Oryctolagus cuniculus: one gene and its partner. The protein of the gene in region 1 purifies or fractionates together with the protein of each later gene. This does not show direct contact. Links are inferred from orthologs where the notes say so. Each region holds a gene or a part of one and is shown in the gene's direction. Other genes may lie near its edges.

Evidence for each region.
Region 2: the proteins of DNAJB11 (region 1) and SDF2 purify together in Homo sapiens (affinity purification with mass spectrometry; 3 studies listed by BioGRID and IntAct, counting the BioPlex papers as one, with this or other methods). This does not show direct contact. The link is inferred for Oryctolagus cuniculus from reciprocal best matches to the Homo sapiens genes DNAJB11 and SDF2.

Annotation. Positions count from the first base shown.
Region 1 is NC_091435.1:96,285,380-96,289,936, forward strand, and holds the start of DNAJB11 (dnaJ homolog subfamily B member 11), read left to right. Parts: upstream 1-1,626; 5' UTR 1,627-1,973; coding exon 1,974-2,041; intron 2,042-4,557. UniProt on the Homo sapiens protein: As a co-chaperone for HSPA5 it is required for proper folding, trafficking or degradation of proteins.
Region 2 is NC_091448.1:44,160,436-44,164,768, reverse strand, and holds the start of SDF2 (stromal cell-derived factor 2), read left to right. Parts: upstream 1-1,503; 5' UTR 1,504-1,564; coding exon 1,565-1,715; intron 1,716-4,333.

The DNA of each region.
Region 1 (4,557 bases):
CTTCAGATTGGCACAGCTCCAGCTGTTGGGGTCATCTAGGGAGTGAACCAGTGGATGGAAGTCCTCTCTCTCTCTCTCTCTCTGCCTCTCCTTCTCCCTTTGTTTAACTCTGACTTTCAAGTAAATAAATCTTTAAAAAGGAAAAAAAAAAAAGGAGCAATGTAAGAGTAAGGAACTCAGTAAGGACTAATTTTAATTGGTTGATCAGGGCAGCCTTAGGTGGCTAATATCCAAATTTTTAAGCGGAGTTACCCAAGTTAAGGTCACGGTGAAGGGTATTTCAGATAGAGGGAAGAGCCAGTATAAAAGTACTAATGTTCTTGGTGTGTTCAAAAAGAAAAAGGAAGCCAGTTTTGTGGGGATAAAGTAAAGAGTATAATAGGTAAGGTACAGATCATATAAGGATTGTAAACCAGAATAGAGTTAGGGTTTCGTTTGAAGCGCAATAAAAAGCCATTCAAGAATTTTAAGCAGGTTAATGACATGACTTGACATGATTTTTAAAAACATGGAGTGAGACGGGGTAAAAACAGGTATTAAGAAACTAAGAACAGAGGGAGGCCGGTGTTGTGGTGCAGTGGGTTAAACCGAGGCCTGCGACACCAGCAACCCATACGGGCGCCAGGCCAATCCAGCTTCCTGCTAGCGTGCCTGGGAAAGCAGCAGAAGATAGCCCAAGTGTTTGAGCTCCTGCATCCTCGTGGGAAACCCTGATGGAGTTCCAGGTTCCTGGCTCGGGCCTGGCCCATCCTGGGCCACAGCCATTTGGGTGCAAATAGAGTGGCTGCAAGGAGACTTGTTAGGAGGCCCTGCCACGTGAGAGATACAGAGTGGGCCCGGAGGCGTATTCATGGAGATGCAGAGGAGCGGACGGACAGGTTCAAAGTCTGGATCAGTTATGCAAGAAAGGGATCAAGGACGGCACCCTGCCGGTGCTTCTGTTTCTGTTTTTCCTGAACAAGGTGGTGCGTTTATTGTGATGACCAAAACTGGGAGGAAGGCGGGGAAGGCAAAGAATTCTCCCTAAGACTGTACTAAGTTTTTATTGGTTGCGTGCTAGACGTCTTACAAAAACATTTCCCGTTAAAATTTCCAACACTGCCAGTATGTGTTTTGTCTCCGCTGTGTTAATTAAGAGACTTAGGCTCAGACTGGGGCGGGGGTGTCTCACCACTACGGCGTAATGGAAGACGAATCCAAGCTTAAATTAAGTCGGTCTGTCTCCACGGCCGCTGCTCTGTCCTATGCCTCTTGTCTATGCAACCGAGACGATTTCCGGGGTTGTTATGAGAACCTACAGTAAGATCTGCTAAGCAGCGAGTCCTGTGTACTGTTGGCTTGGAGTCCTCGTCCCCGCCCATTCCGCCGCAGTCCCTCAGCTCAGGCCTGCAGCGCGGAGTTCCCTATGAATGAAATTCCAAGAGTTCGAACCGAGATAAAATCTCCCTCCCACAATTGGCCGGTGCTGCTGGAGGAGCCTCGTGATTGGTGGGAAGTCCGAGGAGGCGGGCGATTGGGTCCTGTATCGCAGGTGCCCTCTCTAGGTCCCACCCTCCGCCTTTTACGTGATTTCTACGACCCCGGGGAGACCGGGGAGCCTCCTGCGGCGGCGCGGTCCTCTGACGTCTCCTCTTCTAATTGGCCGGGAGCTGAGGCTGCAGTTCTGAAGCGTAACTGGCTGCGCGCACCGCCTCGGAGGTGAAGTGTACTGTGCTGATTGGCCCTGAGGTGCCGGCCGCGTGTGATGTCCTGGCCAGTGATTGGCTCTCGCTTGCTGGGGGCTTCTCTCGCCGGGACTCGGACTCCCGGGAAGTGGTCTGGCCGGGAGGGGGGCAAGCCAGCTGTCTCTGCGGGCCGAGCGAGAGGGCCCCCGGCGTAAGACGGCCTCACAGGGCCGCGTGGGCTGGTGAGCAGACGCGGCGGCAGAGGAAGCTGTGAGGAGTGCTTGGGCCAGGGTCCGGCGTGGAGGAACCATGGCCCCGCAGAACCTGGGCACCTTCTGCCTGTTGCTGCTGTACTTCATCGGGGCCGTGATCGCCGGGTGAGGAACTGGCACCCGCGGGCCCGGGGTTGGAGCGTCAGCCTTCGCTGGGAAGCGGCAGGGTGGGCACTGAGGGGGCGGTAGGAGAAGCGGCTTTGCCAGATGAGGGAGTGGCGAGAGGGCATCGCCGCGGGACGGCCGTGAGTTGGTAGCGTGGGACAGGCTAATGGGTCGGGGGGAGAGCTGTGCGTGATCCCCGTGAGGGGCTTTAGATCCAAAGGCTCCATAAAGCTAAATTCGCCCGGAGGAGTGGGAGTTGGATGCAGTGCCAAAGACGGCGTTTGGGGGGCGGAGTGAGTTTGAGGGGGAGAAGGGGGCTGTGAGCGGAAGCAGTGTCGCCGGGTGCTAGAGAGGGAAGGGGGCGCCCGGCGGTGACTGCCAGGCAGAGATTTAAGAGGTGAGTCGCTGTGCCCTACTGAACCGAAAAACGGAGCCTGCAAGGAACCACGGGGAGGCTGGCATTAAAGTGAGAGGGTCGTCATGCCGGGCCGAGTGAGCAGAGCAGTGGGAAAGCTGCAGGGGCTGAAGGAATTGGGGTCGAGGAAGCAGACGGATCCGTTGGAGAGCCTTGTAGTTCCCAGCTTCGGAGCCGGTCAGCCTAAGCCGTCCTCATGCCCCGCTGTCTCTCTCCATGGTACATTCTGGAGAAGCTGGCTTGGCTTTTGAGCGGGAAGAGAAGTTCTCCAACAGGTGGTGAACTGGGATTCTAGCCTGCACTTGTGAACTCTGTAACCTCGAAGGACCCAGCTAAGTCCTGGTCTCTAACATGAGAATAATAATGTGCTACCCTTAGGCATGCACTAGGAACAGGTGAGCTCTTGAGGGTCCTCCCAGGCTTTAACAGGACCCTAAAAACCTGGCAACCCAGGAAGTGGTGTGCCAGGGTCGTATTTTGGGATGCAAGGAAGAGCAGACCTCAGTTTCTAGCAATTTAGAGGTTATTCTAAATGGGAAGGTACTACCTGGTAGGACCTTAAGTGCTTCTTAATCTCTTAAAAGATTTTAAAATGACTTTGTTGTCGTTTTTCCTTTTAAACATCTTCAATTTCTGAGAAGTTAACTTCTAGATAGTGCTTTCTGATTTTTTTCCTTAGTATGTTTTTGTTAGTAATTTTTACACTTAAAGTAGCAAGTAAGGTGTTTAATAAAACATCAGTATAAATATTGTTACTAGTGGAGCTTTGAATTTTGGTTATTCATACAGGCAGCTCTTGAGCACTGTAATGTTGTTATAACTACCGTTGCTACTGGTGCTTTAAATCGTCGTTCTTGGTAAGGGCTCCTCCTGACTATAATGTTGGCACTGAGCTATACCAGCCATCTTTTTCCTGCGTTTTTTGAGCTGCCATTTAACCATTTTCATATCAAGTACCTTCTAAGTAAGCCCCATTCATTATACTGTTAGCCCTTTTGCTATGAATTTTAGCATTTCTTTTGTTTGTTTGGTTCTTATCTCAAGAGATGTGAAGTATACATTCTGAGATTAGAGGAAGAACACCCATAATTAAGACTCATGGAATCCCTCTGGGTGATCATTTTAAAAACTAACACATGAAATAATTAAATGATTTTATTTCCTAAAGTGTAATCAAGAACTGTTGAAATTTAAAAAAAAAATTCTGTCATGCATCATCAGGAGCTTGACATCCTGAGCGTTTTTCCCTGGTGTATTTTTAAATTATCATTTAAAAACATGTAGTTATTCACGTGAATGGCAGTGTAAGATTTTCCATCTGCTGGCTCAGTCCTCAAGTGGCCACAGCAGCCCAGGCTGGTCAGGTGGAAACCAGGAGCCTGGAACTCCATCCAGGTTTCCCATGTGGCACTCCGATATGGGATACCAGTTTTGCTCCTGGCAGCTTACTCTGCTGCACCAAAATGGTGGCCCCTAAAATTCTTAGTTGAGAGCGGGCATTTGACTTAGCAGTTAAGAAGGCCCCATCTACCATTGCAGTGCCTGAGTTTAATGTGTGGCTCCAGATCCCAGTTCTAACCTCCCATCAGTGTGGACCCTGGAAGGCAGTAGAGGCTGCCTCAAATTATTATTGAGTCCTTGCCACTCACATGGGAGACTAGGTTGAGTCCCCAGCGCCTAACCGCAGCCCTGCCCCAACTTCAGCTGTTGGCAAGCCTTCAAACAGTGACCCAGCAAATGGAAACACTTGCTCTCTCTCATTCTCTTTCTCCCTCCTTCTCTCAAATACATATTTTAAATAAAACAATAAAATGACTGTTACTGCTAAATCTTTATGGCTGTTGTGAATAACTTTGCCGTCTCTGTTACTGAGAAAATATTTTTAGAGCAAATTTTGATGGCTCAAATGACTGGCAGAAGGAGCAGATGTTTGTGGGCATTTTTTTTTTTTTAATTTGCAACATGATTTTAGGATTTATTTTGTTTGAGAGAGTTACAGAGAGAGAGAGAGAGATCTTCCATCTGCTGGCTCACTCCCCAAATGACAGCAATGGCCAGGGCTGGGCTAAATCAAAGCCAGGAGATTATTCTGGGGCTCCCA
Region 2 (4,333 bases), on another chromosome or scaffold:
AAATGCAAAATGTGACAGAGCCTCTCCAGACCTCACCACGCGCTGACAGGATTAATTGTTTGATGAGTTTAAGACGTCTTAGAGTAATGCTGCCATGATAAACTAATCCAGCAAGCCAACTGAATATAAACGGACTTGTACTGGTAGAAGGGATGGAGTTTAGAAAGAAACCCTAAACTCACAACTGACAGGAGAGCAATCACGCGCTTGTAATCAAAATGCTCAGGACTTACACACTGGTAACCTTCAGACCAACAGTGGAACTAGGCTTTTTTCCCAGGAAATTAATCAAACCCAATACTGTCTACATTCTCCATGTCTGTTAACAGCACTGTAGCTTAATATTCCCTTATTGCTTCCAATATTACAGTGAATTTTCATCAAAGTATTTTTGAAGACTTTAGGCCATCTCCCAAAGAAAAATAAGCGTCAGTTCTTGCAAAAAGGGAAATGAACGGCTCCAGTCGATTCAAGCGAGCGCCTAGAAAGGCAGAAACCGGCAGCAAATAAAGTTTTGATTTAACCTTTTCTGATGTGCATGACAGACGTTCGGCAATGTTTGAAAAAAAAATCTACGGAAAATGAACCGCACCTCAACAAGACCTTTGATCTTTAGTAAGGGCTGAAGGATGTGACCATCTACCAAAAGTTCTAATTGTGTTACTCAACAATATGGAAAGAGCTGGAATTGGGCATAGCCCTCTAGCCTAATGGCCGAGCTGCCGAAAGCGCCACACGATTCGCATCCTCAGACCTGATCAGGCTGAGAAGCCCGGGTCCCTTCCTCCCAACCCTTTGGCGTGGCCCAGTTTTCGGAAGCTGCTGGGAGAAGGACCGGATCCCAGCAAAGCCTGTTGATTCACCAGACCAGCTGGTTCACGGGTTCTGGGTGCCACCGGGCTGGGAAAGGCCTTGAGACTCCCCAACTCCCCTGCTTTCCTGCCCCCTCCCCCTCAGAGAGCAGGGAAGGCCGGGGCCCCCTTCTTCCCGCAGACGGCTCCCCAGTGCCTCCTCTCTTAAGGGACCAGGCCCTAGCAGCCTGGTTCCCTCCTGACCTAGAGCGAGAAACACGCGCTCCACGCCGAACTTTACCTGTCCGACGGCCGCCGCTTCTCCGGTGCGCTAAGCCCCCGCTGAGGAAAATGGAGTCGGCGAACCGAGACTGGGAAAGGATAGTCCGGACCCACCGCACGGCCCCTCCGCCTCCGCCGCCGCCGCCGCCGCCGCCGCTGCGTCAACGTGCTGCGTCACTTCCGGCTCCCTGTCACCGGGAGTGGGCGGGCTGTGTCTCGCTCTCTACTCCCACCGTTCCCGGGAGTTTCGTCCCCGGGGCGCGAGGGCTGTCGGAATCGGTTCAGGAAGGTAGCTATCACACAGCCGCCGAGACAGAGCGAGAGTTGGAAGTAACCACGCCCAGAGCGTTCCGCAGGCCGCTCTAGCCAAAGGCACCATAAAGACCAGCCTAGGGCTTCTTCACTTCCTTCTCTCTGTGGTTCCTCCCCCAGCTTCCGGTTCCGGGGAGGTACCGGGGTTTCCTCAATAGGGGCTGCGCGGTCCGGCGAGGATGGCTGTCGCGTCGCTGCTGGTGTTCGGGGGTTTGTGGAGCGCTGTGGGAGCCTCCAATCTGGCTGTGGTTACTTGCGGTTCTGTGGTGAAGCTACTCAACACGCGTCACAACGTGCGGCTGCACTCCCACGACGTGCGCTACGGATCAGGTACTGCGGGCGACCCGGTTCGGGTGGGCCGGGGGCGGGGCCTGCGAAGGTTGGGGGCGCTCTGGGGAGGTTCCTGAGGGCTGGAGCAGGGCAGCTGAGGTTCTCCCTAGCGAACTAGGCAGTGCGCCCATCTTTAACGTTTTTGTGAAGTAGGTACTCTTAGTATCCTCATATTTTATAAACGAGAAAACAAATGAAGTGGCTTGCTGACAGCCTTGCAACTGGTGACTGGGAGACGGGGTTCTGTCTAATCTGTTTAGTCTTTAAGCTGCTGCGGGAGAGAAAGGCGTGTAGAAAATCTCAGTAAGTGGTGCCTCTCTGAATTCTTAAGCTCAGAGTCCACACCCCTCTGTATACCAGCTCTTTTACATCTTGTTCTTCACTTCGTATCTTTTGTCACCTCTTAAATCAAACCTTAACCTAGATCTGGCAAAGAACTTAAACTACAGCAGTCACAGGTATTGCAGAGGAGACTTCTTTTTTACCTTTTTGAAATTAAAATACTTGGGGTTCAATCATTCAGCGTAGATTTTTCTTTTTTAAGGTTTATTTATTTATTTGAAAGGCAGAGATGCAGAGAGAGAGGGAGAGAGATTTCCATCTGCTAGTTAACTCCCCAAATACCTTCAACAAGCTAGGGCCCAACAGCCTCATCAAGGCCTCCTGCTGGGTCATCACTCCCCCTCCTTGCCCAGGTGTTTCTGGATTGTATGGAGGTGGTGGCCTAACCTGCTAGGCTACAATGTGGGCCCCTCAGCATAGATTTAATGAGTTGCTGCTGTGTGCCTGGTGTTTTTCTAGATACGGGAGATGCAGTAGTGAATCCGTCAAGCAAGTTACAAGACAATAAACACAGACAAGAAAAGAGAGAAGGAAGCAAGATGAAGGCGGGATCTAAGAAAAAACTGGGATAACTGATGAGGTCTCTCAGATGGGCCAGGTGGTGCCTGAGTCCCAAAACCTGTTGGACCAGTTACACTGGGAAAGGAACTAAGTTATCATTGGGATGTTTTAATTCTAGTGACCATTAACATACTTGTGTCAAGCTGCTTTCTTTTTCATTCGACCTTGTTTCCTACTTTGGATCTACTGAATTAGAATAGAACTGGAAGGAGGCTTAGCACTGAGACTCTGTAGGTCTCAAAAACTAAAGTGGTTCTGATGGGCAGCCAGATTTGGGAACCAGGTTCAGTCTGGAACTCAGAATAGCTGTGCTGAGCCTGAGAAAGTTAAGTGCAAGACAATTAGAGATGGAATTGTTCAGAATGAACTGTGATTCTTGATCTAGGGTCAGTTGGAATCACTTGAGAAACTTGTGGGGGCCAGTATTGTGGTGTAATGGGTTAAGCTGCTGCCTGCAACACTGGCCTCCCATATGGGCGCTGGTGTGAGCCCTGGCTGCTCCACTTCTGACAGTTTTCCTGCTAATGTGCCTGGAAAGCAGTGGGCCCTTGGGCCCCTGTAACCACATGGGGAACCCAGATGGAGCTCCTGGATATAGCCCCAGCCAGCAAATGGACGATCTATCTCTCTCCTCTCTGTAACTCTGCCTTTCAAATAAATCTTTAAAAAAAAAAAAAAAAAAATGCAGGGCCAGCTTTGTGGCACGGTGGGTTAAGCCGCTGTCTGCAGGTCCTGTATCCCATAAGAACACCAGTTTTAGTCCCTGCTGCTCCACTTCCAATGTAGTTCCCTGCTAATGCACCTGGGAAGGCAGCAGAAGATGGTCCAAGAGCTTGGGTCCCTGCCACCTTCATAGTAGACCTGCATGGAGTTCCAGGCTCCTGGCTCCAGCAGCCATTTGGGGAGTGAACCAGCAGATGGAAGATCGCTCTCTTTCCCCCTCTCCCTATAACTCTGCCTTTCAAATAAATAAATACATCTTTTTGAAAAACCTACATACACAAATACTTTTGTTGTGACTCCTAATAAATATCTAAGAAGTACTCATAGAAGTAAGTAGATGAGGACCAGGTATGGAACCCTACCTCAATAGATGGCATTAAAACAAGGATGAGCATTTTGTTCAGTGGATTAAGCTGCTGGTTGGGATGCTTGCATCTCATGTTAGAGTGCCTGGTTCAAGTTCTGGATGTCTCGTTTCTGATCCAGCTTCCTGCTAATAAGCCTGGGAGGCAGCAGATGATAGCTTGAATACTTGGGTTACTGCCACTCATGTGGGAAGCCCAGATAGAATTCTTGACTCCAGGCTTTGCCCTGGCTTAGCCTTGGCTGTTGAGTATTCTGCCTTTCAAACAAAGAAATGAGTAAATTTTTTAAAGAATATTCAAATGAAGAGCTTGAATCAATGTGTGATACCTGGCTCAATGCAAATTAGCTAACAATTATTAATTGATAGCTTGTATTTTTGCATGGATTTTAATTTTTTTGCATAAAAATAATCTTTTAATTTTGCTTTCCATGAAGTCTTTTATTTTTTTAAGATATATTTATTTATTTGAAATTCAGAGTTACACAGATAGGAGAGGCAGAGAGAGAGATAAAAGGTCTTCCATCTGCTGGTTCACTTCCCAATTGGCCGCAACAGCCGGAGCTGCGCCCATCTGAAGCCAGGAGCCAGGAGCTTCTTCCAGGTCTCCCATGTGGGTGCAGGGGCC